4 linked regions of the Anolis sagrei genome follow. The protein of the gene in region 2 interacts with the protein of the main gene of each other region in a pairwise test. Links are inferred from orthologs where the notes say so. Each region holds a gene or a part of one and is shown on either strand. Other genes may lie near its edges. The genes, in order: GAPDH, HTT, ZMAT2 and PPA2.

Region 1 (7,393 bases), on a different chromosome or scaffold from region 2:
GTCCCTATTGGGGGGAGGGGGGATGGGCCTCATAATAGGTTGGGGAAACCCAGGGGAGGCCTGCTCAATGGGCACAATGAAAAGAAACCCATCATGGAGCCAGGAAATGCCTCAAGCAGGGGGCGGGGCGGAAAGTTTGACAAAGTTGGGCTCACTGGGTGGCAAAATGGCCTTTTTATGGCTTTCTCAAACTAAGTGCACCTTTGTGCTTTTGATTGGAAATCAGTTTCAATGCAATTAGTGGCCCTTAATGTCCCAACAACCCAACTAGAACTCATACTACGAGGGTTGAATGAAAAGTAATGCCTCCACCTGCGTTACTTGGGTTTGGATGGGAATATTTTAATAAATCAAACGCAGAAATAATCCTTAGAATGTGCTCTTTAACTACCACTATTCACTGGGTTGCTGTAGGTTTTTTTCGGGCTCTATGGCCATGTTCTAGAGGCATTCTCTCCTGACGTTTTGCCTGCATCTATGGCAAGCATCCTATGCTTGCGAAATGCCTATTATGCTTGAAATTTCTCTCTGAGTGATACGACGATCGTCCTGAATCAATCTGTCAACCTTTTGCTTGGGAAACTCAGTGGTTGCTGTCACAGGACGTCCAACTCTTTGTTTGTCACTCAAGTCAGATGTTCCCACCTCAACATCTTTAAACTTATTCACCGAACGACGTACAGTACTCACATCAATACAATCACCATAAACAGCTTGCAATCTCCTTTGGGGTGATACCTATGCTGTCAATAATTCAATGACTGCACATTGACTGACCGTCTGCACAGGGTTCCATACTTCAAGAGTCCAAAAGTGGCAGGCTAAAACCCGAAACCTCAATCAGTGGCAGAAACTGAATCAGAAACTCCCCCCCCCCCCCCCGGGCATACAGTAGACTGGGCGACTTGAAAGGCACTGAGCAGGCTGTGCTCTGGCACTACGAAATGCAAAGCCAGTCTTAAGAAATGGGGCTACAAAGTGGAGTCCACAACATGCGCGTGTGGAGAAAAGCAAACATTCTACAATGCAGCCTGAGCACTGCCACATACACATTGCAGGACCTTCTTACAGCAACACCAGAGGCACTCCGAGTGGCCAGCTTCTGGTCAAAAGAAATCTAGTATGATATCAAGTTTTTAACTTTGTTTGTATTTTGTTTAATACATTATAACTGTATCCTCAATTCGCTTCTGACACAATAAATAGATAGCAGAGTTAATAGAGCAGGTCAAGAGAACTACTTCCAACCTCACCACCCCCCAAATAATTTCCACTTGTTACCCTGGCAACCGCTGACATCACTCTTGGAGGGATGGGAGGACTTCCCCTTGGTTGAGTTTTTAACAAAAGAAGGGGTTGTGGGAAAAATGCCTGGCCCTCGGCTTCTTTTGCTGATGCTGAAGGCCTCAAAGTGTAAAAGTTTCCTTCAGAAAGTGAAGTGTATTGAAATGTAGCGCCTCTGCATTATATAGCAGTGTGGACCCATTTATTATTGTTATTATGTAGGTATTTATTATTAAGTTATTATGTGTTTATTATTAGCTATATATTTATTATTGTGATTATTACATGTGTATTCTGTTAAAGGTAAAGGTTTCCCCTTGACATTAAATCTAGTTGTGTCTGAGTCTGGGGAGTGTTGCTCATCTCCATTTCTAAGCTGAAGAGTTGGTGTTGTCCATAGATGCCTCTAAGGTCATGTGGTCAGCATGACTGCATGGAGTGTCATTCCCTTCCTGCTGAAATGGTACCTATTGATTTACTCACATTTGCATATTTTCAAACTGCTAGGTTGGCAGACGCTGGGGCTAACAGCGGGAGCTCATCCCATCACTGGATTTGAACTGCTGACCTTTCAGTCATTAAGTTCAGAAGTTCAGCAGTTTGACTGGCTGTACCACCAGGGGTTCCTATGCATTGTGTTATATGTATTATAATAGTGTTGTGTTTCATCTCTCCGTTTTCATCCTGCTGTATCCACAAGGAGAGGCAGGTAACAATATTGTTATACTATGTAACAACATTTGATAAAATGTATCTTCCTGGTTTGAAAGGGTTATTTCCTGTTTAATTGTGCGGTACTTCCTTTAAAGTAGCTGTTATCCTCCAGAAACTGCCACAAACTTGAATTGGTTGAGATTTTATGAGGTATTCGTTGAAAAAACCAGGGCCCCTTCCAGAGAGCTGAATAAATTCCCACATTTTCTGCTTTGAACTGGGATATATGGCAGTGTGGACTCAGGTAACCCAGTTCAAAGTAGATATTGTAGGATTTTCTGCCTTGATATTCTGGGATATAGGGCTGTGTGGAAGGGCCCTGAGTCCACACTCAAATATTGTGGGATTTTCTGCCTGATATTCAGGGTTATAGGGCTGTGTGGAAGGGCCCTAGAGCAAAATGTGATGCAGAGTGTCCCACAAAAACAAAAGTTTTTTGGAGTTTCATAAGCTTTTTCTGTGTTCTTATGATAGAACCAAGTGAAAAATGAAATTTTTAACCCAACAAAAAAAATGTTACATATATAGGCCCTTTCCACACTGTCTTATATTGCAGGATCTGATTCCAGGTTGTCTGCTTTAAACTGGATTAGATGAGTCTCCACTGGCAGATAATCTGGGATAACAAGATAATTTGGGATCAGATCCTGGGATATAGGGGCAGTGTGGAAATGGCTGCCAATTCTCTTGAAAGCTTTGTATCAATTTGTTTTCTTTAACAAGGTCAGATACTTTATCTGATTCTGCCAAACTGAGAAGTTTTTGACAGACTCTGCTTCCCTGGAGACTACGACGTGGAGCAGTGACTTCAAACTACAGGAAAGGAGATTCCACCTGAACATTAGGAAGAACTTCCTAACAGTGAACACTTCCACACAGTCCTATATCCCAGAATAACAAGGCTAAAAATCCCAGAATAACTGCTTTGACCTGGGTTATCTGAGTTCAAACTCAGATAATGTGGGATTTTCTGCTTTGATATTATGAGATACAGGACTGTGTGGAAGGGCCCTGAGAGCACACTCAGATAATGTGGTATTTTCTGCTTTGATATTCTGGGATACAGGGTTGTGTGGAAGAGCCCTCAGAGAGCTGTTCAGCAGTGGAACTCTCTGCCTAGGGGGGTAGTGGCAGCTCTTTCTTTGGAGGTTTTTAAACAGAGGCTGGGTAGCCATCTGTCAGGGGTGCTTTGAATGCGATTTCCCTGCTTCCTTGGTAAGAGGTTGAATTGGATGGCTCCTGAGGTCTCTTCCAACTCTAGGATAATGTGATTCTATGACTCTAACTGGAGCTCCCGGTGGCGTAGTGGGTTAAACCGCTGAGTTGCTGAGCTTGTTGACCAAAAGGTCGCAGGTTCGAATCTGGAGAGCGGCGTGAGCTTTGGGTGTCAGCCCCAACTTCTGCCAGTTTACCTGTTTGAAAATATGCAAATGTGAGTAGATCAATAGGTACCACTCCAGCAGGAAGGTAACAGTGGTCCATGTAGTCATGCCGGCCACATTACCTTGCCTATGGACAACGCCGGCTCTTCGGTGAGTAGATGAATAGGTACCAGCGGGAAGGTAACGGCGCTCCATGTAGTCATACTGGCCACATGACCTTTAGAGGTGTCTATGGACAACCCTGGCTCTTCGGTGCATAGATCAATATGTACCACTCCAGCGGGAAAGTAACGGCGCTCCATGTAGTCATGCTGGCCACATGACCTTTGGAGGTGTCTATGGACAACGCGGCTCTTCAGTGAGTAGATCAATAGGTACCACTCTAGCGGGAAGGTAATGGCACTACATGTAGTCATGCTGGCCACATGACCTTTGGAGTTTTCTATGGACAACACTGGCTCTTTGGTGAGTAGATCAATAGGTACCACTCCAGCGGGAAGGTAACGGCGCTCCATGTAGTCATGCTGGCCACATGACCTTGGAGGTGTCTATGGACAATGCCGGCTATTCAGCTTAGAAATGGAGATGAGCACCAACCTCCAGAGCCAGACATGACTGGACTTAATGTCAGGGGAAAACCTTTACTATTGACTCCAACTTTGTAGACAAAGGGGTGAGCTAAGCCGAGGCGAAGGGCACCTTTCCTTCCTGAGTATCGATAGCCATGGCAATAAGGGGAGTCAGTCCACCCCCATTAGCAGCCTCGGAAAAGGGGCTCCCATGGAGGCCCCCGAAGTGGGAAGTCTGCCTTTCTATAAAGAAACAAAGGGGCGATGTGGGGCGAAAGGGGTGAGCCTGGGAGGGAAGGAGGGAGAAGGGAGGGAGGAGGGCCTTTGGGCCAGGAAAGGGGTGTGGGGTAGGGAAGGCAAGAAGGGGCGGGGAGGAGGCTGGAGCTGTGATTTGGGGCTGCGCCTTCGGGCCCTGATTCGGCAGAGCCGGGCCCCTCCTTTTCCTCAGCCAACTCTATAAAGGCCCCGACCGAGGGCCCCTTTCCTGCTTCACCTCCTCACTGCACCGCAGAGCTGAGTTCGGCCAGGATCCCAAGGGTAAGGCCAAGGGGAGAAGCAGGGAAACCAGAGGGAGGGAGGCCTGGACCCTCCTAGGGATCCCCCCAAAGCCAGGGCTCGCACAGTGATAGGGGTCGGGGTACGGCCTGAGAAGAAAGAGGGGCCCCAAAAGGAGGGCAGGCAGTGCCTAGATTGAGTCAAGAGCGCGAGGACAAAGTTGCAACAAGTTTCAGGCGCCCAGTTGGGGCTGATCGCCTTCCAGGAAGTGAGGCTTCCTTCCTTCCTTCTAGAAGGGGTGGGGTGGGTTCATTTCCCCTCTAGGAGCCTCCGAATAGGGGCGTGGCGGTGGCTGCAAAGTTTCCCCATCTAGAGAGCCCCTCTCTAACTTTAGGGAAAGTTTTATCTTTTGAGCCTCTTCCATACAGCAGAATATAGGGATATAAGGCTGTGGAAGGGCCCAAACTCTTCAAGGGCTCCCTCTCCCCAAAGGCTCTTCCACACAGCCCAATAATTCAGAATATCAAGGCAGGAAATCCCACGTTTTTTTGCTTTGAACTGGAGTATATGGCAGCGTGGACGCAGATAACCAGTTCGATGGAGATCTTATGGGATTTCCTGCCTTGATATTCTGGGATATAGGGCTGTGGGGAAGAGCCTTTGGATAGTCTGGTCCCTTCCACACAGCGCTATATCCATTAATATCAAGGCAGAAAATTCCACAAGATCTGCTTGGACCTGGGTTATCTGAGTCCACACTCAGATAATGTGAGATTTCCTGTGATATTCTGGGTTATAGGGTTATGTAGAAGAGCCTTTGGAAAGAGGAAGCCCTTGGAGAGTTTGGGCCCTTCCACACAGCCCTATATCCATTAATATCAAGGCAGAAAATCCCACAAGATCTGCTTGGAATTGGGTTATCTGAGTCCGCACTCAGATGAGATTTCCTGTGATATTCTGGGTTATAGGGCTGTGTGGAAGAGCCTTTGGGGAGAAAGAGCTCTTGTAGAGTTTGGGCTCTTTCAGACCACCCTATATCCCTGAATATCAAGGCAGAAAATACCACAAGATCTGCTTGAAACTCAGATAATATGGGATTTCCTGTGATATTCTGGGTTCTAGGGCTGTGTGGAAGAGCCTTTGGAGAGAGGGAGCCCTTGGAGGGTTTGGGCCTTTCCACACAGCCCTAATAACCCAGAATATCATGGTAGAAAATCCCATAATATTCGCTTGGAATTGGATTATCTGAGTCCACATTCAGATAATGTGGGATTTTCTGCCTTGATATTCTGGGATATAGGGCTCTGTGGAAGGGCCCTTTGTCTCAAGACTTTAGGGAAACCTCTGTCGGGAATCATCCTTGGTTTGAACCCTTTTCTTCTTTTTTCCCCCTCCTCCAGAATCACCTTTTCCAGAAAGCAAGATGGTGAAAATCGGAGTCAACGGGTGAGTGGGGAAAGGGGAAAGGCAGGCCGACGTGCGGGAGGGCAGCCTGGGCATGGCAGGCAGAAAGGGGCAGGACTTGGGATGGACAGGGGGGAAGCCCCTCCCTCTCTTAGGCCTCTTCGTCTGTCTCTGAGGGGTAGCCCTTGGAGACCTTCCCAGCCAATAGGGAAGCCTCCCTCCCTCCTGTTCTTGGCCGGCAGACAGTGCTGCCTTCTGTCCCTCACAAGGACATCTCAAGGTCACCTCTTGTGTCTCTCCCCCTCTCAAAGGGACCCTGCAGCTGTTTTCTTCCAAGAGAAGTCCCCTTCTTCTCCTTTTGCCCTGTGCAACAGCTGCCCACTTAAACAAACGGTCCACCTTTTAATCCCCATCTTCCTGGCTCCCTCCATTTCCTTTTGCCTACTTCTGGGGCAGGGAAAACACGTGGAGAAGAGCAAAAGGGCTGGTGACTCATTTACTTACTGACTTTCCGGAGCTGGGCTGCTGAGTCACAGCCGGCAGGAAGCAGCCCTAGCCGCAGGGACTTGAGAACTTTTTCTCCTTCCTTCCTTCCCCCATCCCAGAAAGCCTATGGAAAGGTCCACCCAAGAATGTGTGACCTTCTGCTTGCGATGTGCGGGAGACTCAAAGCTGTAACCAGATCAGGCTGCCACATCTCTGGTGCCTGGGAGAGAAGCTAAAGTTAGTGCCTGACCTTTCTGTGGCAGGAGCTGCGGGTGCCAAAGGGAAAGGTTCCCTGAGAGGGTGCTGCGGGAAAGGGAGGGCATGTATCTCAATGCTGCTCCCAGTAACATCGCCTGCAAACACATACACACACACACCGCAAACCACTGGCAGGAGGCATGCTTTGCATGTATGTAGCTCAAGCTTGGCGTCTCCAGGATCTCCGGTTGCAAGGCTGTGAGGCACCTTCAAAGCAACCCTGCGGGGAAGCTTTACAAGCAGATGCACTTGCTGCCAAGAGAAATGTTAACGCTGATCTAGTAGGGGAAATCCAAGCCTTCCCACATGTTGCCTTGCCCCTTAGATCTGGCAGTGGTGAGTTTCGCCTTTCAAAGGAAGGCCTTGAAAGGCCATCAAAAGCATAGTCAGATTTCACTTGTCATGCAAAGAAGCTCTTTGAATTCAGACACAAAACCATCCTCAGAAAAATAGTGCCTAGTCCACCCAAAAACTTTCAATTTCTTGCAATTGTAGGGCTCTGAAAGTGTTGCCATCCTGCAAATGTGAGGGTTTTTAACCTCTTCTCTACCTGCAGTCAGTGATGGCTGGTTTTATGTGAAAGACAGCCTTAGGGCACTTCCACACATCCCTATATCCCAGAATATCAAGGCAGAAAATTCCACAATATCTGCTTTGAACTGGATTATTTAAGGGCCCTTCCACACAGCACTGTACCCCAGAATTATCAAGGTAGAAAATTCCACAATATCTGCTTTGAACTGGATTATCTAAGGGCCCTTCCACACAGCATTGTAACTTGGGGCCCTTCCACACAGCACT
Region 2 (7,706 bases):
TGGGATTTTATACAGTTGTGTGGAAGAGGCCTGAAAGACTGAAGAGATTGAAAAAGTTATAGTTTTTTTGTTTTTTCTTTCTTTTTTTGGGTAGGTTATAGAGTATCCTTTGTAGATCCACTAATTATGTTTTTAAAAAAAACAGATGTGTTTGTAGAAATTATTTTTATTTTATATCACTCACAGCCCTTCCACACAGCCATAAAACACAGAATATCAAGGCAGAGAATCCACAGTATCTGCTTTGAACTGGATTGTCCAAGTCCAGTTCAATTTGGATTTCATGCAGCTGTGTGGAAGGGGCCTCGGTCTTTCAATGGCCACACTGTACTTTCTGGGCAGGACTGAAGTCAATGACAGCACTTTAATTTAAAGAAGCTTTAAAGCCCAGTCAACTTAAAAGACTGCATCTCCTTCTATGAAGCTGCATGAGCTCTGAGATCAACAGAAGTCCTTCTCCCAATCCCACCACCTTCGCAAATACAGTTGGTGGGAACAAGACAGGGCCTTTTCGGTAGTTGCTGCACGGCCCTGGAACTCCCGAAAGACATCAGAATGGTCTCCCCTTCACTAACTTTCAGGTGCCAGATAAAAACTTTTCTCTGGAATCAGGCCTTCAAGGAAGAATAATACAAGAGTGATAGGCGCCATAGTAGCATTTGAGCTGAATCTTTTTCCTGCAATACCTTTATGGACAAGTGGTATTAGAACAGATAATTACTTTGGTTTATGTTTACAGTGTTCCCTCACTACTTCGTGGTTCGCTTTCAGCGGATGCGCTGTTTTGCGGTTTTCAAAAAATATTAATTTAAAATATATATTGTGGTATTTTCGCTGTTTCGCAAGTTTTGCTGCCGCGGCCTCCAAAACACTTTTCCTCCTCAGTACTCCCTCCCTCCAGCCTTGAAGGGCCTTTCCTTCCTTTCCTTTCCTTTATTTTAAGTTTATAAAGACGTAAAATAGTGTATAACTACTAAAATAATGTATAAATATTAAAATAAATATAGTGTCCCTACATCGCGGTTTTTCACTTATTGCGGGAGGTCCTGGAATGTAACTCCCGCAATAAGTGAGGGAACACTGTATTTAGTTTTAACTATACCTAAAGTGCTGAATGTATTTTAATCTGTAACATATTCTGTTATGGTGTAACTGCTTTATTATGTTTCAGTTGTCATTTTTTTAAAAAATCTGTTTATTTTTATTATCCCAATGTACTTTGTATGTTTTATACCTAGTTGTTGGCCACTTTATTTATTTTTCAGCATTTTTACCCCGCCCTTCTCAACCCCCGAGGGGGGACTCAGAGCAGCTAACAAGGGCAGCAATTCGATGCCACAATCAATAACACAGTATAAAACCATAAATACATACAGAGTTAAAACAATAGCAGTTAATTATAACCAAATTATCATAAGTCATGAAAAAAAAATACTCAGTCCACAAACCCACTGATAGAGCCATAAAACCGTATCGTCATACGTATCGTCTTGCCAATCCATTTCCAGTCAAAGTGCTGCTTTATGTTTATTGTCCGACAGCCTGGTCCCAAAACCAAGATTTTAATTTCTTCCTGAACACCAGGAGGGATGGGGTCGATTGTATTTCATTTGGAAGCGTGTTCCACAGGCGGGCGGCTACAGCTGAGAAGGCCCAGTCTCTCATCCCCGCCAGCCGCGTTTGCGATGTTGGCAGGAGCGAGAGCAGGGCCTCCCCGGATGATCTTAAGTTATGAGGTGGGACGTAGAGGCAGATGTGTTCGGACAAGTAAGCTGGGCCGGAATCGTATAGAGCAGTGGTTCTCAACCTGGGGTCCCCAGATGTTTTTGGCCTACATCTCCCAGAAATCCCAGCCAGTTTACCAGCTGTTAGGATTTCTGGGAGTTGAAGGCCAAAAACATCTGGGGACTCCAGGTTGAGAACCACTGGTATAGAGCTTTATAGGTAAAAACCAGCACTTTGAATTGAGCTCAGAATTGGACAAGCAGCCAGTGGAGCTGACACAACAAGGGGGTGGTATGCTCCCTGTATGTAGCTCCTGTTAGGAATCTGGCTGCCGCCCGTTGGACTAACTGCAGTTTCCGAACTGTCTTCAAAGGCAGCCCCATGTAGAGTGCGTTGCAGTAATCTTTGAATCCCCAAATGGGGGAATATATTAATTAATTTATATAATTACTATAATTATAATTAATAAATAATTTTTTTAAAAAAAACCGTTACAAGGAAGCACTTGCTGAGGGGGTTTTGGTGGGCTGATCCTGCACGGCAGGAATCGAAAGTGGGTTATTGTAGGTTTTTTCGGGCTGTATGGCCATGGTCTAGAGGCATTCTCTCCTGACGTTTCGCCTGCATCTATGGCAAGCATCCTCAGAGGTAGTGAGACCTCAGTGATTCCGGCCTTGAAAGCCTTCGACAATACAAGAATCGAAAGAATTCAATTCACAAGGCTAATCCAAACATGGGACTGAAAGAGAGTGTGGCTGCTTTTGCTACCCATGATTTTAGATCGAGGTCGCTTTCTGTCATAAGCTTCCTCGAGTCCCATCTTTGGAAGAAAGGCGGGATTCCATAGGCTCCATCCCCTCAGGACAAATGCCCCGGTCTCCGGGGGAATCCCCACAGACAGGAAGACAGGCAAAGAGACAGGCCCAGCCTGGCCTCTCCCCGCCCGGACTCACGGTCTCTGAGGGGGCTCCTCGGCGGCGGAGGCGGCGGCCACTCCGGCCGAGGAAGCGGCTGAGGCGCCCGCTGGAATGGCGGCAGGGCTCTGCTGCTGCTGGAAGGAGCGGAGGGACTCGAAGGCCTTCATCAGCTTCTCCATGGTGGCCATGACTACACTCGGAGGGCTCCGAGAAGGAAGCCCACTCCTCCGGCGCCTTCCCGCTCAGGGCAGCACAGCAGGCCTCGGAACTCAGAGCAGGCAAGCGCCCTCAGCCCGCCTCCAGCGCACCGACGCCATCTTGGAAAGCTCCCGTCATTCCCCGCGGCACCGCGACGGAACGCCCCCTCGCCGTGTCCTTGTCCCCTCGCCACTTCCGGGCTTCCCCTTGAAAGGCAGGCCAAACGCCAATCAGCGCCAAGTAGAGGAGGATACGCTCCGCCTCCTGGCCAGCTGTATGGAAGGGGCCTCAGATAACCCAGTTCAAAGCAGGTATTACAGATTAGCTGCCTTGATATTCTGAGGGCCCTTCCACACAGCCCTATATCCCAGGATATCAAGGCAGAAAATCCCACTATTGCGAAAGACTGCTCCAACTTCCGTACAGTGGCCCTTATTTCTCATACCAGTAAGGTAATGCTCAAGATCCTGCAAGGAAGACTCCAGCAATACATGGAGCGAGAGTTGCCAGATGTTCAAGCTGGGTTTAGAAAAGGCAGAGGAAGGAGAGACCAGATTGCCAATATCCGCTGGATAATGGAGAAAGGCAGGGAGTTTCAGAAAAACATCTACTTCTGCTTCATTGACTATTCTAAAGCCTTTAACTGTGTGGATCATAATAAACTGTGGCAAGTTCTTGGTGGGATGGGCATCCCAAGCCACCTTGTCTCTCTCCTGAGGAATCTGTACAAGGACCAAGTCGCAACAGTCAGAACTGACCACGGAACACCAGACTGGTTCCAGATTGGGAAAGGCGTACGGCAAGGCTGCATCCTCTCACCCAACCTTTTTAACTTGTATGCAGAACACATCATGCGATGTGCGGGGCTGGATGAATGCAAAGCTGGGGTGAAAATTGCTGGAAGAAACATTAACAACCTCAGAAATGCAGATGACACCACTCTAATGGCCGAAAGCGAGGAGGAGCTGAGGAGCCTTCTAATCAAGGTGAAAGAAGAAAGCGCAAAAGCCGGGTTGCAGCTAAACATCAAAAAAACCAAGATTATGGCAACAAGAATGATTGACAACTGGGAAATAGAGGGAGAAAACGTGGAGGCCGTGACAGACTTTGTATTTCTAGGTGCAAAGATTACTGCAGATGCAGACTGTGGCCAGGAAATCAGAAGACGCTTACTTCTTGGGAGGAGAGCAATTTCCAGTCTCGATAAAATAGTAAAGAGTAGAGACATCACACTGGCAACAAAGATCCGCCTAGTCAAAGCCATGGTATTCCCTGTAGTAACCTACGGATGTGAGAGCTGGACCTTAGGGAAGGCTGAGTGAAGGAAGAGAGATGCTTTTGAACTGTGGTGCTGGAGGAAAGTGCTGAAAGTGCCTTGGACTGCGAGAAGATCCAACCAGTCCATCCTCCAGGAAATAAAGCCCGACTGCTCATTGGAGGGAAAGATACTAGAGACAAAGTTGAAGTACTTTGGCCACATCATGAGGAGACAGGAAAGCCTAGAGAAGACAATGATGCTGGGGAAAGTGGAAGGCAAAAGGAAGAGGGGCCGACCAAGGGCAAGATGGATGGATGGCATCCTTGAAGTGACTGGCTTGACCTTGAAGGAGCTGGGGGTGGTGACAGCCGACAGGGAGCTCTGGCGTGGGCTGGTCCATAAGGTCACAAAGAGTTGGAGATGACTGAACGAATGAACAACAACAACCAAAGCTATGAAAGAGTACTGTCTGTGTTAGGATGAAATACAGTTGGCACATAATAAATGCATTTCAAAACACACAACCACCCCCACCACCCCCAAAAAAGGAAAACACTCCAAGCCACAGCTTCTCCTTGAGCTTCATTTTTTTTCCTGCAGATATCTATAAACACCCTAAATGCAGCAGATCCCCTCTGAGCGGGGAATTTTAGAGTGTAACTTTTAATGTTTAATAATACATACGTTTTTAAGGATTATTGAACATCTAATATTTGTTTAGTGTTTAATTATTTGTATGCATGTTTTAAATATGATGTGAGCCACCTTGAGTCAGTCCTGTTGAAAGGTGGCATTGAAATATTTATATATAAATAAAAATGTAATGTTAGTTCGTGTACCATCAGAACTCAAAAACCACTGGGGGAATTGACACCAAATTTGGACACAAGACACCTAACAGTCCAATTTATGTTCTCCATTCAAAAAAATTGATTTTGTCATTTGGGAATTGTCGTTGCTGGGATTTATAGTTTACCTACAATCAAAGAGCATTCTGAACTCCACCAATTATGAAATTGGGCCAAGCTTAGCACACAGGGCTCCCATGACCAACAGAAGAAACTGGAAAGGTTTGGTGGACATTGACCTTGAGTTTGGGAATTATAGTTCACCCACATCCAGAGAGCACTGTGGACTCAAACAATGATGGATCTGGACCAAACTTGGCACAAAAAATCCATATGCCTAAATATGAACACAGATGGAGTTCGGAGGAAATAGTCCTTGACATTTGGGATTTGTAGTTACTGGGACTTTTAGTTCACTACAATTAAAGAGCATTCTGAAACCCACAAACGATAGAAATTGGGCAAACTTCCCACACAGAACCCCCATGACCAACAGAAAATACTTAAGGCCATCCGGTCCAACTCTCTTCACCAGGGCAAGAAAATGTAATCAGAGCTCTCCTAACAAAGAGCCATCCAGTCATAAATATAGATAGATAGATATGATTCTCACACACACACACACACACACACAGATATAGTATAGATTTGAAAGAGACCCTTAAAGAAGGACTATGATATGTTGCATGTTCCAGAGTAGGCAAACCAGACACTCTCCACATCAACACTGACAAAGAAACAAGAAATACTGTTTATTCACAAGAATAAAGGAATTACTTATATTAGAAACCAACACTTTCTCATTACTTTATTTTCCAGATCACCAGACTGGGCCACAGCAATGCGTGGCAGGGGACAGCTAGTCTGTAATAAATAAACACATGGCTTCTGAGGGCCCTTTCACACAGCCCTATATCCCATCAATGCAGAAAATCCCACGTTATCCATGTGTGGACTCATATAACCCAGTTCAAAACAAACATTGTGGGATTTTCTACCTTGATATTCTGGGATAGAGGTCTGTGTGAAAGGGCCCTCAGGCTCCTCTTGCACTGCTTCCCCATCCCAGGGCCCTTCCACACAGCCCTCTATCCCAGAATATCAAGGTTGAAAATCCCATTATATCTGCTTTGAACTGGGTTATGCGAGTCCACACTCAGATAATGTGGGATTTGCTGCCTTGATATTCTGGGATAGAGGGCTGTGTGGAAGGGCCCTCAGAAGCACCGATAGTGTCAATAGGGGTCCGCGCAGCCGCAGTTCCTATCTTCGCGCGCTTCCGGTTTCTCCTCCCTCGGCAGGGGAAGTGCCAGCATCCCTGAAGGAGGCCGGTGGGCGGGGCCTCCAGCGGAAGCCACGCGTGTGAGCCTCCGGAAGCGCAGAGCGCCCAGTCCCCACGCGAGCAACCATGGGGAAAGCTAAGCGTAAGGGAACTCTTGCTGCTGCTGCTGCCTCCGCCAAGACCGACGCCATGGCGCAGAGCAACCCCTTCGAGGTGAAGGTGAACAAGCAGAAGTTCCAGATCCTGGGCCGGAAGACCAGGCACGACGTGGGGCGGCCGGGGGTCATGCGCTCCCGGGCCCACAAAAAGGTGAGGTGATTTGTAAGGATAAATAACAGAATGTCCTTGGTTTAGTTTTGGATTTGATGAGTGGTCCCATTGGAAAATGCATCAGGATGTGAGCAAACTACAATTCTCATCACCTCTGTCATTGCCCCCAAACCGCATCAGTATTTAAAGCAGGGGCACTTCCAGACAGGCCCCACATCCTAGGATCTGATCCCGGGTTTTCTGATTTAAACTGGATTATATAAATCCCTATTGCCAGATAATCTGGGATAAACAGAAAATAATCTATATATATATATAAATGCTCTGTGCATAATGAGTACCTTAAAAACAAAAGAACCAATGAATGAAATAACACCAAATTTGGCAACAAAATGTCTCACAACACAAGGAATGACCATCACTCAAAAAATTATGATTTTGTCATTTGGGAGTTGTAGTTGCTGGGATTTATAGTTCACCTACAATCAAAGAGCACTCTGAACTCCATCAATGATGGAATTGAACCAAACTTGGCACACAGAACTCCCATGACCAACAGAAAACACTAGAAGGGTTTGGTGGGCATTGTCCTTAAGTTTGGGAGTTGTAGTGGACTCAAACAATGATGGATCTGGATCAAACTTGGCACAAGCACTCAATATGCCCAAATATGAACACAGATGGCATTTGGGGAAAATAGACTTTGACATTTGGGATTTGTAGTCACTGGGATTCACAGTTCACTTACAATCAAAGAGCATTCTGTACCCCATGAATGACAGAATTGGACCAAACTTCCCACACAGAACCCCCATGACCATCAGAAAATACTTAAGGCCATCCAATCCAATTCCCTTCATCAGGGCAAGAAAACGTAATCAAAGTCCTCCTGACAAAGAGCCATCCAGCCATAGATCAGATAGATAGATATGATTCACACACAAATACACAGATATAGTATCATAGATTTGAAAGGGGCCCCTAAAGAAGGACAATGATAGGTTGCATGTTCCAGAGTGGGCAAACCAGACAATCTCCACATCAACACTGACATAGAAACAACAAGGAATACTGTTTACCCACAAGCAGAAAGGAATAACATAGATTAGAAACCGTTACTTTATTTTCCAGATCACCAGACTGGGCCACAGCAACGCGTGGCAGGGGACGGCTAGTAAATAATAACAAAGCTTTATTTATACCCCACT
Region 3 (7,831 bases), on a different chromosome or scaffold from region 2:
GTCTTTTCATCAATGATGCCGTTTTCGTGCCCCACAATTATTGTATTAATGGCATACAGAATGTAAAAGAAAATAGCAAAAGAGAATAAAATGCATATAATACAGGTATGCCATTCCCCCATAACCTCTGGTCCCACTCTGCGAAACAAATATCTAAAAAAAACAACCTCTATTCTTGTCTTTGCATTCATAAATGTTCTGAGTTTTCTTGACGCTGCAGAACTTATGAAGTTCTTCCAAAGAGGGCAACCAATGATTCTCTATGCAGTAGTGGTGACCCTTTGGCGTGCCTTCCTATCTGTCACTGTGCAGTTATCAAGTCATGCGCAGATATAGTAGGTTAGGGCAGTGGTAGAAAGTCATCCACAGTTTTTCATTCAGTTGTTGGTTCCTTAGACATCTCAGGTAGTACAGTCTCTCCTGGGCACTCTTAACCAGCGCTGCTGTATGGGTGTCCTAGCTCAGATCCTCCTTAACAGGGATACCCAGGAACTTAAAACTGGCCACCCATTCCATTTGGTCCCCATTTATGACGAAGGGCTAAATTTCTGGTCTGTTCTTTCTGTAGTCTACTATGAGCTCCTTCGTTTTATTGATTTTAAGAACCAGATTATTGTCCCTGCACTAATGATTCCAAATTTCGGTGTATCTCAGATTTCCGAATCCTGGATAATAATAGTTCAGGAGGATACAGGTTTCTGTTTTGAGCTGTATCAAATACAATGTTATTAAAAACATCTCATTCTCCCTCAGGGCCCATCAACACAGCCATATAACCCGGAATATCAAGGCAGATAATCCACAATATCTGCTTTTAACTGAATTATCTGAGTCCACACTGCCATATAATCCAGTTCAATGTGGAAGGAACCTCAGTCCACAACTTCAGAAGATTCTGATGCAAATACAGCTTTATAGGACTTGTATTTAAAAAAAATATTTTACAGATTTGAACAAGAGTATCAAGGCTATTTCTTTATTTACTACTAGCTGTACCCACCACGCTTTGCTGTGGCCAACCTTCCCTCTTTCTCTCCTTCTTTCCCTCCTTCCTTCACTCCCTCTTTCCTTCCTTCCTTCCCTCTCTTTCCTCCTTCCTTCCCGTCTTTCCTTCTCTTCTTCCTTCCTTCTCTATCTCTTTTCTTCCTTCCCCCTTTTCCTTTCTCTTCTGCTGTCTCTCTTTTCTTCCTTCTCTCTTTCCTTCACTCCCTCTTTCTCTATATCTTCCCCGCTTCCTTTGCTCCCTCTTTCCTTCCTTCTTTCCCTTTTTTATTTCCTTCTCTAACTTTCCTTCCTCCCCCCCTTTCTTTCCCTCCCTCTTTCTTTCCTTTCTTCCTTCTCTACCTCTTTCCTTCCTTCCTTCTCTCTTTGCTTCCATGCTTCTTTCTCCCTTTCCTTCTTTCTTTCCCTTTTTTCTCCCCTTCCCTCCCTCTTTCTTCCCTTTTTTCTGTATTGTCTTTAGCTTTTCGTCATTTAGCTTTTTGGGGCTTTTTAAGTCCCTTCTGCTGTGTTTTTCAGTGTTTTTATGAGTGAAGGACATACATTGGGTTGTTAGGTGTATTGTGTCCAAAGTTGGTGTCAATTCGTCCAATGGTTTCTGAGTTCTGTTAATCCCACAAACAAACATTACATTGTATTGTCAAAGGCTTTCATGGATGGAATCACTAGGTTCTTGTGGGGGGGGGGGGGTTTGGGCTATATGGCCATGTTCTAGAGGCATTTTCTCCTGACGTTTCGCCTGCATCTATGGCAAGCATCCTCAGAGGTAGTGAGGTGAGACAAGAGGGATCCTCTCACCTCTGCAGGAGTCTACCGTATACCATGCAGCTGTAGACAAGTCTACATAGGGACCACCAAACACAGCGCCCAAACACAAATCAAGGAACATGAAAGGCACTGCAGACTACTTTAGCCAGAGAAGTCAGCCACACCAGAGCACCTGATAAACCAGCCTGGACACAGCATATTATTTGAGAACACAGAAATGCTGGACCACTCTCACAACCACCATGTCAGACTACACAGAGAAGCCATTGAAATCCACAAGCATGTGGACAATTTCAACAGAAAGGAGGAGACCATGAAAATGAACAAAATCTGGCTACCAGTATTAAAAAAACTCTAAAATTACAACAGCAAAACAGCAGAGAGAAAACAACCAGGCACATCTTAACACCTCTCAACAAAAGATTCCCCAAGGCTCAGCCAGGCCTTCAAATGCTAATGAAGGCGGTCAGTTGAAACATTCACACCTAGCTCCAGCAGAGAAGAGCTCTTTGCCTCACCCAAGTCATTCCACAGATATATAAACCCATTTTCCTAACTCCAACAGATCTCACTACCTCTGAGGATGCTTGCCATAGATGCAGGAGAAACGTCAGGAGAAAATGCCTCTAGAACATGGCCATATAGCCCGAAAAAACCCACAAGAACCTGAACATTACATTGTTATTTATATAGATATTTCTTTTACTATACTTGTATACCGCCTTTCTCAGCCTATCGGCGATTCAAGGCAGTATTTAGAACACACATCCTCCCATTTTCTGGGCCTCCAACTCCCAGAATTCCTCGCTACTGATCAAGATGGCTAGGGCATCTGGGAATTGAGACTCAAACAGCGGGAAGGCCGTAGTCGGAAGATGCCTTCCCTAGAATGTGTTAGGAGTGTCAAGTGCGGGCTTTAAAGCGCTTATCTCAAGTCAAGAAGTGCAATACAAAGCCGCTGAGGAGCCGGGCCTTTCTCTCGGCGGCGTCCCAGAAGCCAGGAGCCCTTTCCCGCACCCGTTGGGGGCCTAAAAGCGGAGCCACACCGGAAGGCCCGCCGCCCTGCTCTCCCTGAGGGCCATTACAGCTCCTCGGGACAGAAAACCGGGCAGAAAAGGCCTTCCTTGCCTTCTAAATCAAGTCCACCACTTACCCCACTGCCGGACGCCATCTTGCCTGTGAAGCGTCCCGGAAGCCGGAAAACGTCGCGCAAACTGGGGCCTGCCGTAAAGCGTACTTCCGGTTGGTCCTTTCTAGCCAGAGCGTCCTCACCCAAGCTGCAGCTTTCTCTATGCTTCCTGGGAAGCCTTTTCGCTCAGGAGAGGTAAGGAAAGGACGTGTCTTAGAGCGTGTTTGTGCCTCAGAAAGGAAGCTTATAGCTTTGCCTCGAGGGTGAGGCAGACAGAAACCCTTCAAGCTTTTAGCCTTCACGTGTTTCTCTTTCAAGTGAAAGCACAGCCTTGCTTCTGGCTCCAACTCCCAAGTCTGTCTGTGCAGCAAAAGGTCCTGGAGGCCTAGTGGCAGGTGCCCTTCTACACAGCCCAGAATATCAAGGCAGAAAATCCCACAGTATTTGCTTTGAAGTGGGTTATCTGAGTCCACACTGCCATATATTCCAGTTCAAAGCAGATATTATGGATTATCTTCTTGGAGAATGGGAGAAGTTCCAGCACCAATGTGGTCCCAATCTTCAAGAAGGGAAAAAAGGATGACCCAAAGAATTACCACCCGGTCAGCCTCACGTCGATACCAGGCAAGATTCTGGAAAAAAATGTTAAGGAAGTGGTTTGCAAACACTTTGAAACAAATGCAGTCATCGCTAATAGTCAACATGGATTTATCAAAAACAAGTCATGCCAGACTAATCTGATCTCTTTCTTCGATAGAGTTACAAGCTGGGTAGATGCAGTGAATGCCGTGGATTTCAGTACCTGGATTTCAGTAAGGCCTTCGACAAGGTCCCCCACGACCTTCTGGCAAACAAACTAGTCCAATGTGGGCTTGTCAAAACTACGGTGAGGTGGATCTGTAATTGGTTAAATAGACGAACCCAGAGGGTGCGCACTAATGCTTCCTCTTCATCCTGGAAAGAAGTGACGAGCGGAGTGCCACAGATTTCCGTCCTGGGCCTGGTCCTGTTCACCATCTTTATTAATGACTTAGATGAAGGGTTAGAAGGCAGGATCATCAAGTTTGCAGACGACACCAAATTGGGAGGTATAGCCAATACTCCAGAGGACAGGAGCAGGAGTCAAAACGATCTTGACAGATTAGAGAGATGGGCCAAAACTAACAAAATGAAGTTCAACAGTGACAAATGCAAGATACTCCACTTTGGCAGGAAAAACGAAAGGCAAACATACAGAATGGGGGACAATGCCTCGCTCGAGAGCAGTATGTGTGAAAAAGAGCTTGGAGTTCTCATTGACAACAAGTTAAACATGAGCCAACAATGTGCTGTGACGACAAAAAAAAGGGCCAATGGGATTTTGGCCTGCATCAATAGGAGCATAGTGTCTAGATCTAAGGAAGTAATGCTACCCCTCTATTCCACCTTGGTTAGACCACACCTGGAATATTGTGTCCAATTCTGGGCACCACAATTCAAGAGAGATATTGACAAGCTGGAATATGTCCAGGGCGACTAAAATGATCAAGGGTCTGGAGAACAAGCCCTATGAGGAGCAGCTTAAGGAGCTGGGCATGTTTAGCCTGAAGAAGAGAAGGCTGAGAGGAGATATGATAGCCATGTACAAATATGTGAGAGGAAGTCACAGGGAGGAGGGAGCAAGCTTGTTTTCTGCTTCCCTGGAAACTAGGATGCGAAACAATGGCTTCAAACTACAAGAAAGGAGATTCCATCTGAACATGAGAAAGAACTTCCTGACTCTGAGAGCTGTTCAGCAATGGAACTCTCTGCCCTGGAGTGTGGTGGAGGCTCCTTCTTTGGAAGCCTTTAAACAGAGGCTGGATGGTCATTTGTCAGGGGTGCTTTGAATGCAATATTCCTGCTTCTTGGCAGGGGGTTGGACTGGATGGGCCATGAGGCCTCTTCCAACTCTATGATTCTATCTCCCCAAGGGGACTCAGAGCGGTTTCCAAGTAACATAATCAATCCATACAAATAAAACAGCATAAACATAACATTAACAAGACAATATAAGCATTAAAAACCACAATAGCACATATATTTAAAATAATCCTGCCTGTTCAAGGAAGTTTAAAAGGCCGGGCCAGTGCAATTTTAGAGGGCCCAGGAAATTAGGTAGAGTCTATGGTCATACATTTCCAGGGCCTAATAGAAGAAAGTGACCTGGGTAATTGGAAGAAAAAGATATGGCCAATTTCAACAGTATCTGGGTTATAGCTAGAACTAGTTATTCTCAAAGGTTTGTTTAAACCACCAAGTCTTCAGGCTCTTACAAAAGGAGGGGAGAGATTGAGCCTGTCTTATTTCTCCAGGAAGGGCATTCCACAGGTGGGGGCCACCACCGAGAAGGCCCTCTCGTCCCAACCAACCGTGCTTGGAGCGAAAGGAGGGCCTCCTCGGAAGATCTTAAAGTTTGTGCCGACTCATCGTTAACGACTCATTGTTAAGAACGGGGAGGGGGGAGGTGAGACAACAGGAAGTGAAAGAAATCTACCGCCAGGAAGGGAAATTCACTCCTAGAAGAGTTACCATGGAGAAAAGGGGTATCCAATGAAGCCTTCCAACCAATCCTTGTTTCCACAACAAACCATTTTTTTTCACACAGCCATATAACCCAAAATATCAAGGCAGATTATTTCACAATATCTGCTTTGAACTGGGTTATCTGAACCACATTGCCATGTATTCCAGTTCAAAGCAGAAAATGTGAGATTTTATTCAGCTGTATGGGAGGATCTCCGCCATTAGTCTGTGTGACTTTGCAAAATAGTTTTCTCATTGTTGGATTTTATGTCTTGCTTTTTCTCTCTGTTCTTCATGCTGGATACATCACAGATGCATCTTTCACTGATCAGAATGCAAAGGCTTCCTCTCCTGTGCTGCTCTGAAGATTTGATATGCCCAGTATAGGAAACATTGCTGGCAGATGCTGTTGAAACTCCTCGACATGTATTGGATAAGCTTTTTCACAAAGGCTCTGTATAGGAGACAGCTTATGCCAACGCAGTTTTGGGTTCAAAGGACACTTTCCAGCCATCTACCGAACAAGGTGCATCTCGTTTACCACAATTCTTCTACAACTCTTGTAGCTTTGAGTTTAGAAGTTTCTTCCTAGCAGCATTTTGGAAATTTACAAATAAAAGCCAAATTAACCTGCTATTCAAGCTTCTGCGGGGTTGGGAATGGGCTGGAACATTGCCACCTTTAGAATGTTAAGAATTTAGGACTTCTTGAGATCTTAATCTGTCCTTACCATTTTGCACTGATATGTCAGCTGTCTTATATTAATTGAAATCTGTAAAACGAACATAAAAAAGAGTTATTCATATTTCCAATGTAGTATTACATTTGTCTGTTGCAACAAAAACAACAAATGATCCTGTGCTGCATCAAAGCCTAACAGATATATTACAGCCTAATCATTAAGGAATTATAGCCCACTTTATCAAAGGCATACTGTCTTACCCAGAATTTCGAGTAGATTTAGTACACATGTTTGAGGATAGCACAGTAGACACTGAAGTCAGAAAGAACTCGCATGTCCATGTTATAATACATGTGTTGGTCTTTAAAGTGCCATGGCATCCTTTTTATCAGATTTGCTTTGCTCTCAGGTGACTGAAGATGTGGTAAATCAACCATCGCCACAGCTGAGAGATGCTGGAGGAAGAGGAAACATAATTCTCAAAACCCCCAAGGTAATAGCCCATCTGTGTTCTGCTTCCTCTTCCAGAGTCCCCTTCGAGCACTGCTTAACTCTGGTACTTCCTTTAACGGAACAAGCCGTACCATCATCCTTCCAGATGATCTTATAGAGCACTCAGCCCCTTTACCCCATTAGCTTAATCTACTGCTTTTTCAATTTTCCCCTCTCTTCCAATCATTTTCTATTATTTTTAGCAGTACTTGATTCTCGTTAGAAGATTTTTTGGCACAGAATCAAATGCTTAGTATTAAACAATTGAAGCATCTGGAAGCCCTTCAGCTGTTGGCTGCTGTTACTATTTCAGCTGTGTAGTTTTCATCAAGCGTTTCTTTTTTTAAAGAAACATCTCTTCTAAACCCCCATCTTTTCTTCGGTGTGGACTTTCAGGGCACCAGGGATTTCAGTCCAAAGCAGATGGCCATCCGTGAAAATATCTTTGCCACCATTATCAGCTGCTTCAAGCGCCATGGAGCTGTGACGATAGACACCCCTGTGTTCGAGCGGAAGGTGAGGATGGATCAGTATTATTTTGGAAGTGCTAGTGGCCTTTTTGTCTGACAAGAGCTTCACATTTCTAGAGTCTTTTTCTGCTAAAGGCTGAAATTCTACACAAAGGCTGTTTTAGTTTTATTGATTTCAACAGAACCATAGCAACTTAACTGTGTCCAGGAGTGAAACCGAAGTAAATGCCTGTTGTTTTGACTCCATTGATATTAATGCTATTTGGTTCCAGTTAAGTGTATTAGGATTGGGAAATGAGGCATGGTTGTCTTCATGAGAAGTGCACGTCTTTTTACATTAAACCTATATCATGGATTTATATTGCATCTTATCTACCAAAATCATTGTTAAAGGAATAATAATAATAATCTTTATATATAACCCATAATGGCAAACATTCAATGCCAAAAACCAAATCGACAGTCAAAGCAAAAACATAAAAATAAACTCAATATAGCAGGGATTGAACTAAATAGATATAATAGACACAAAAAGTCATACCAATTAATAAATAGTACATTAAAAACACAATATAATACAGCATATCAGCAAGCTGAAGTAAATGTCTGTTGGATAGATCCCTTCTCCAGCCAGGCCATGAAAGTTCAACCCTTTATGCTCCTATTACTCACATTGCCCCTTAGGTTTCCTCCCTAGATCAGGTACTTGGGCCACAATAGTGTGTAGCAATGGACATGTTGTTTAGT
Region 4 (6,833 bases), about 76 Mb from region 2:
AGGCCTTCGAAAGGCATTTTGTTGTTCATTCGTTCAGTCACCTCCGACTCTTCGTGACTTCATGGACCAGTCCACACCACAGTTCCCTGTCAGCCGTGGCCACCCCCAGCTCCTTCAAGGTCAAGTCAGTCACTTCAAGGATGCCATCCATCCATCTTGCCCTTGGTCGGCCTCTCTTCCTTTTTCCTTCCATTTTCCCCAGCATCATTATTTTCTTCAAGCTTTCCTGTCTTCTTATTAAGTGGCCAAAGTACTTCATCGTTGCCTCTAATATCATTTCCTCCAGTGAGCAGTTGGGCTTTATTTCCTGGAGGATGGACTGGCTAAAGTATTTCATTTTTTCTTTGAATTTTATTTTCTTTTGGTGTATATTTGTATTGTTCTGGAATTTGTTGTATCTTTTATGATGCTCTTCTATGTAGTGTTGCTGTCTTGTCTCCCCTCCGAGGAGATGGGGCGGGATACAAATAAAGTTGTTGTTATTGTTATTATTAAAGCCATTATAGACAGTTTCTTGGGTTTTGTGCTCTGCTACTTGTATTTTTTTCAACCCCGTTATTTTTTTTTAACATGATCATTTAAAGAAAATCCATGGATAATAACACAGCTCAACCAAAAATATTTTTTTCTTGGTGTCTTCATTTTTAGGCCTGAGTTTACTTGGTATGCTGATCCAGAAAATTGCATTGGATAAACCACATCAGCAGATGGTGACTACTGGATGGCATATGTCCTGTACCAGAAACTACAGCTGATGTGGTTTATCCAATGCAATTTTCTGAATCAGCACCCCAAATAACCAAACCGAATCTAGTTCACCAAAAACTGATTCATAACCCTTTTGGTACTAATGTTGGAGAGTGTTCCCAGGTCAAAGTGGTCCCTGGCCAAAAAAAAGTTTGGGAACCACTGCTTTAGAAAGTGGAATCTGAGCAGGACATCTAGCTTTTAACAAGGTCTCCTGGTCTTGGCAGGTTCAGAAATTATTAAAGGTGGTCTTCAGATGCTCACGAAGATTCACATTTGCCAAAAGGATATGGCTTCCTTTTATTCCTTTTCAACAAGGTTATGAAAGCCATTTCCCCCCAAAAGACTATGACTTGAAAGCTAAAAGTGAAAAACAGAACTGTTTTTTTAAAAACATTCAGTAGGTTTAATCTTCCCATGACCACTTCCACAAATGAAGAATGTTATATAGGTAATAATTACCTCATTTGAGCCAACACAGAGAGGAATGTCATGGAATGGAGAGATATATTTTCCTTTTGAATTCTCTACAAGATTAAAAACAAAGGTTGTAAGCAAAGACATACAATACTCTATATATCAGGCATGGGCAAACTTCAGCCCTCCAGGTGTTTTAAACTTCAACTCCCACAATTCCTAACAGCCTAATCAACTCAGTATTTTGACAACACATACAATTTGACAACACACACAAAGCCTTTTAAACAGAGGCTGGATGGCCATCTGTCAGGGGTGATTTGAATGAGATTTTCCTGCTTCTTGGCAGGGGGTTGGACTGGATGGCCCATGAGGTCTCTTCCAACTCTAGGATTCTATGATTCTAATTCTCTGTGTGTGTGTTCTAAGCAATCAAGCGAAGAAGTTGCCAATTAACTATTGTGCCCTGTTTTTTCTGAACCAGGAAGATATGTCGGGCAAGTCAGCTCCCAACACGTCCCTATTGCCCACCCCTCAAGCCCCGCCTTTAGAACGCCATGTACCAATAAGCCCCGCCCCTTAGAGAGGTTTGCAAGTCCAACCTTAGAACGCCAACAAGGAGCAAGCCCCGCCCCTAGAACGCCATGTACCAGCAAGCCCCGCCCCTAGAACGCTTTGCAGAAGCAAGTCCCACCTTGGAACGGCAGAGGAGCAAGCCACGCCCCTAGAATGCCATTAAACAGCAAGCCCCGCCCCTAGAACGTCACTAAACAGCAAGCCACGGCCCTAGAACGCTTTGCAGAAGCAAGTCCCACCTTAGAATGCGAGCAAGCCCCGCCCCTAAAACGCTTTGTAGGAGCAAGTCCCACTTTAGAACGCTAGAGCAAGCCCCGCCCCTAGAACGCTTTGCAGAAGAAATTTCCACCTCAAAACTCAAGGGGAGCAAGCCCCGCCCCTAGAACGCCAAGTACCAGCAAGCCCCGCCCCTAGAACGCTTTGTAGAAGCGAGTCTCACCCACTAAACAGCAAGCCCCGCCCCTAGAACGCTTTGCAGAAGCAAGTCCCACCTTAGAGTGCGAGCAAGCCCCGCCCCTAAAACGCTTTGTAGCAGCAAGTCCTACCTCAAAACGCAAGGGGAGCAAGCCCCGCCCCCTGAACGCCATGTACCAGCAAGCCCCGCCCCTAGGACGCTTTGCAGAAGCAAGTCCCACCTTAGAACGCTGAGGAGCAAGCCCCGCCCCTAGAAAAGCTCTGAGCAGCCAGCCCCGCCCCTAGAACGACATGCATGAGTAAGCCCCGCCCCTAGAACACAATGTACAGTACCATCGAGTCCTGAAGAGGAGCAAGCCCCGCCCCTTGGACGCCCTTCAGAACGCCACGTACCGACAAGTCCCGCCTTTTAGAACGCTCTCTATGACCAAGCTCCGCCCCTTGAAAGCCCTGTAGCAATGCTGCGTTTGAGGCACTATTATATATTATACTTACTGAAGTACAGTCGGTAGTCGGGCGCGTGGAGCTTCCCGCGCTGCTCGGTGCCGTAGTGCGCCATGAGGCCGCTTTGCCAGCGACAGGCGCCCAGCTGCGGAGGAAGAGGGAAGCGCGCCGGCGTCCTGACGTAAGAGGAGCGGCTGGGCAGCAGGAGCCGCCGCAGGAGCGGAGCCAGAGCGGAGCCGGCGCGCATGCTGCACGGAAGGAGGGCAGGAAGGAAACAGGGCAGCCTTCTGCCGTTGGCGGGCGGCCCCTCCTCCTTCTCTTTCTCCGGGGAGTCGGACCGCCCTCTAGTCCATGCCGACGACGGCGCCTTTGCCCTCGACTTTTGTTGACACGGGGAAAGTGGGCGAGGAGCCAAACATGCAGCAGGACGAGGCGAAAGACCTTGGCTCAGTATTCCTTAGCATTGGGTGCTTCCATGCAGCTTGGCCTCTCTCTCACTGCCAAGGGAATCATGGGAGTTGTAGTTTTGCAAGGTCTTCCGCCTTCTCTGCCCAAGAGTGATGGCAACTCACCAGATCACAACTCCCAGGATGCTGTGGCAGTGAAAGTGGCGTCGAACTGCATTAATAATACAGTGTAGATGAAGCATGAGCCAACTTGGGCCTTCCAGGTGTAGCGGCTGAGGGGGAAAAGGAAAGGACCTGAGGCTGTTAGGAATGCTGGGAGTTGGAGTCCAAAACACCTGGAAGGCCCAAGTTGGCCCCATAACAAATGGCCCAGGCTTCATTCAACCCCAGGTGGCCATCTGTTGGGAGTGCTTTGATTGTGTATTGCTGTGCTACCTGGTTGGGTCGCCTTTGTGGTCTCTTCCAACTCTGGCCATCTGTCGGGGGTGCTTTGAATGTGATTTTCCTGCTTCTTGGCAGAGGGTTGGACTGGATGGCCCATGAGGTCTCTTCCAACTCTAGGATTCTGATCCTGAAGCAAGGCTATCAAATGGTTGTTCAGCAGTGGTTGGTCATTCCCTAATAATAATAGTAGTAATAATAATACACTTTATTTATAACCTGCCACCATCTCCCCAAAGGGGACTCGGTGCAGCTAACATGAGGCCAAGCCCAAAATAATACAACATAATAAACACACACACAATAACAAAATACATCATAACAAAATATAAATGGTCACTCAGTGGGTTTTCATAGTCCGGCAGGTACCACACTAAAGCATGCTTGATCAATGTGTTGTCGAAGGCATTCATGGCCACAATCACTGGTTGTTGTGTGTTTTCCAGGCTGTATGGCCATGTTCCAGAAGCATTCTCTCCTAACGTTCCACCCACATCTATGGCAGGCACCCTCAGAGGTTGTGCGGTCTGATCAGTTTATGTTTACCAGCGTTATAGGCCAGATAGCCAGGAGGGTAAAAGAACCAGTCAGACCAGTTCAGGACTAGGCTGTTACTGCAAGCTACAGAATTCCTTTTATGGGGCCCATCCATTTCTTCTCAGAAGGTAGTTATTTGGCTCATGGCACCTGAACAGAACAGATTAAATGCTTACTTGATGGAAACTAGCAAGTGGAAGTTTGCATTCTGTTCTCTGCAAGCAGGTTGCATCTCATCAGCCCTGAAACAAAGGAGGAGATGCACAAACTGAACATTACAACAAATACACTATATAACACAGTTTTTGTTTCTGGGTTATAAATGTTATTTTCTAATTGGTTCTATCATAAAAACCATGAAAAAAGTTTATTAAACTGCAAAAACTTTGTTTTTGTGGGACATCCTACAGTACATTTTGCTATAGTTTTTAATTAATATCTCATAGAGCAAGTATGAGCAAATCCAGGCCCGGGGGCTGGATATGGCCCCTTGGGCTCTTTTCTCAGGTCCTCCTCTCTCACCATTCTAGACTTCCTTCTCTCTTTCCTTCCTCCTTCCCTTCCTTTCTTACCTCTCGCTTTCTCCCTCCTTCCTTCCCTTCCACCCTTTTGTCCTTCCTTCCTTCCCTCTTTCCTCCCTCCATCCCTCTCTCCTTTCTCCTTCCTTCTTTCTTCCCTTCCCTTTTCTTTTCGTCCCAAAGTCATAATGCCAAAATGTGTTTTTGCAAGCTCTTCTAATAAAATGCACCATTAATTTTTTGAGGTCATTTGGCTCTTTCTCAAAAACATACAAGTCGTCCTGTTCCTTTCTTGACTGCTTATATTGAATATCTAGTCACCTTCCTGTATACACATTACACACTAATTTTTTGTGTATGTATCAATTCAGATTCCCCATTTTTGCTGAAGCAGGAGAAACCGGTATTACTTGCTGGAATTGCTGACCCTCCTTGTTTGAATTCTCTCTTCTGCAAAGCCTCTAAGGATCATTAAGGGCATATAACTTAATTAAATCAAACCTTTCAGCTATGAAATGCAGGTGCAATTGCCTCAAGCAATCCATCCACCAGTGATAGTTCTCCTTTGGTGTTTTTTCTTGTACTCAAGACATCAAAATGCCAGATCAGTTCTGATCTGCTTGGATATATGTGTGTGCCTATGTGCCTTCAAGTTGCCTGTCAATTTATGAGGACCCATTTCATAGGTTTTTTTTTACATAAGACATATTCAGAGGTTTTGCTGGTTCTCTTCTGTGAAACATAGCCTACAACACCTGGTATTTGTTGGTCTCCCATCCAAGTACTAACTAGGGCTGTCCCTCCTTAGCTTCAAAGATCAGGCAGAAAATGGGCTATTTAGAATATTTATGCTTCTGTTATGTCTTCCAGACTCAGTCTTCGCTGTTTGTAACTTGGAAGAATTTATTTGCTGCACCCTAAATACCATAGTCTCACTTGCTATCTGTTTATATTGTACCATAGTAAGAAGGATGATCCCAGGGCCAAAACACTACAGCCCACCTTCTTTCTAGTGAGCCAGTAACTATCCAAACAGGAAAACACACTTTTTATATGTGCACAAGCATGTGGTGTTTGGGCAGTTGTGAGTGTCTGCTGTTAGTATTTAATGCTTGGTGCTTAATAGCATCACCAAGATCCTTAAGTCTCGGGTTTTGGCCTGAACACACCAGGACTTGAGCTGGTCCTGAACTAGCAACCCTATCAACCGTCACAAGTATGAGGTTTGTTTCCTAGCAGACAGTTCAATTAGCTTACCATTTTTTTTTTTGTCATGTCAGGAGCGATTTGAGAAACTGCAAGTCACTTCTGGTGTGATAGAATTGGCCGTCTGCAAGGACGTTGCCCAGGGGACGCCCGGATGTTTTGATGTTTTATCATCCTTGTGGGAAGCTTATTTCATGTCCCCACATGAGGAGCTGTAGCTGATTAGAGGGAGCTCATCCGCACTCTCCCCTGATTCAAACCTGTGGCCTGTTGGTCTTCAGCCCTGCCGGCACAGTGCTCTAACCCACTGCACCACCGGGGGCTCCAATAAAAGTGAGCTTAGCAATGAAAGTGAGGGGAAAGGGTTTACTTCTATGACAAAAAATGTGGTGCTCCCTCTGGAATTTCAAAGTGAGACACCCCAATGATTTTTTAGAACTCCATGGATATACCTTTATGAAAGTATGCAGAATAATTTTAAACCAGATCAAAATACACCCTTTTATAGTTCAATATACATTTCCTTCTGTCTGTCACATTAGTAACTCCAAATTATCTCAGATAATTAGCTCTCTTTTGTTTTTGGTTGCTTATCAGTAAATAGTTTGATCCAGAAATCCAATAAACAATACCAAGGGAGGTATACACACACACACAGAAACTAAAATGAGAAATTCCCCCCTTTTACTTATGTTACAAATAATAATAATATGCTTTATAGTCCACCCTATCTCCCTGAGGGGACTCCGTGCAGATTACAGTGTACTAATAAGGCAAACATTCAATGTCAATTACACAATCAACAAATATAGACAATACATAAACAAAGGTAAAGGCTTCCCATCTTTTTCCATCTCTGGCAACTGGAGCCTGTGCTTGACTCCTGTCAGGGGGGGGGGGGGCTGTCTTCCATGCTAAGGAGCTTTCTTGTCTTTATTTAATACACTCTTCCGATCAAATCGCCAGCATGGTCGTATTACTCTTTTATTACCCCCCCCCCCAAAAAAACAGTATTTATTTATCTACTCGCATTATTGTTTTCGAACTGCTAGGTGAGCAGAAGCTGTTCTGACTGGAGGTCACCCCAACCCAGGCTTGAACTGTCGATCTTCCAATCTACAAGATT

What was found.
Region 1: the proteins of HTT (region 2) and GAPDH interact in binary tests that used the Homo sapiens proteins (3 or more experiments, as listed by UniProt). The link is inferred for Anolis sagrei from reciprocal best matches to the Homo sapiens genes HTT and GAPDH.
Region 3: the proteins of HTT (region 2) and ZMAT2 interact in binary tests that used the Homo sapiens proteins (3 or more experiments, as listed by UniProt). The link is inferred for Anolis sagrei from reciprocal best matches to the Homo sapiens genes HTT and ZMAT2.
Region 4: the proteins of HTT (region 2) and PPA2 interact in binary tests that used the Homo sapiens proteins (3 or more experiments, as listed by UniProt). The link is inferred for Anolis sagrei from reciprocal best matches to the Homo sapiens genes HTT and PPA2.

What each region holds. Positions count from the first base shown.
Region 1 is NC_090022.1:197,266,532-197,273,924, forward strand, and holds the start of GAPDH (glyceraldehyde-3-phosphate dehydrogenase), read left to right. Parts: upstream 1-4,379; 5' UTR 4,380-4,486; intron 4,487-5,844; 5' UTR 5,845-5,867; coding exon 5,868-5,890; intron 5,891-6,352; exon of another isoform or gene 6,353-6,615; intron 6,616-7,393. UniProt on the Homo sapiens protein: Has both glyceraldehyde-3-phosphate dehydrogenase and nitrosylase activities, thereby playing a role in glycolysis and nuclear functions, respectively.
Region 2 is NC_090025.1:105,051,966-105,059,671, reverse strand, and holds the start of HTT (huntingtin), read right to left. Parts: upstream 3,001-7,706; 5' UTR 2,831-3,000; coding exon 2,679-2,830; intron 1-2,678. Other genes in the region: NOP14 (nucleolar protein 14), read left to right, coding at 6,355-6,537.
Region 3 is NC_090024.1:136,398,338-136,406,168, forward strand, and holds the start of ZMAT2 (zinc finger matrin-type protein 2), read right to left. Parts: upstream 3,008-7,831; 5' UTR 2,939-3,007; coding exon 2,921-2,938; intron 1-2,920. Other genes in the region: histidine--tRNA ligase, cytoplasmic-like, read left to right, coding at 5,844-5,966, 6,532-6,615, 7,011-7,130. UniProt on the Homo sapiens protein: Involved in pre-mRNA splicing as a component of the spliceosome.
Region 4 is NC_090025.1:28,949,268-28,956,100, forward strand, and holds the start of PPA2 (inorganic pyrophosphatase 2, mitochondrial), read right to left. Parts: upstream 3,009-6,833; 5' UTR 2,846-3,008; coding exon 2,650-2,845; intron 1,275-2,649; coding exon 1,210-1,274; intron 1-1,209.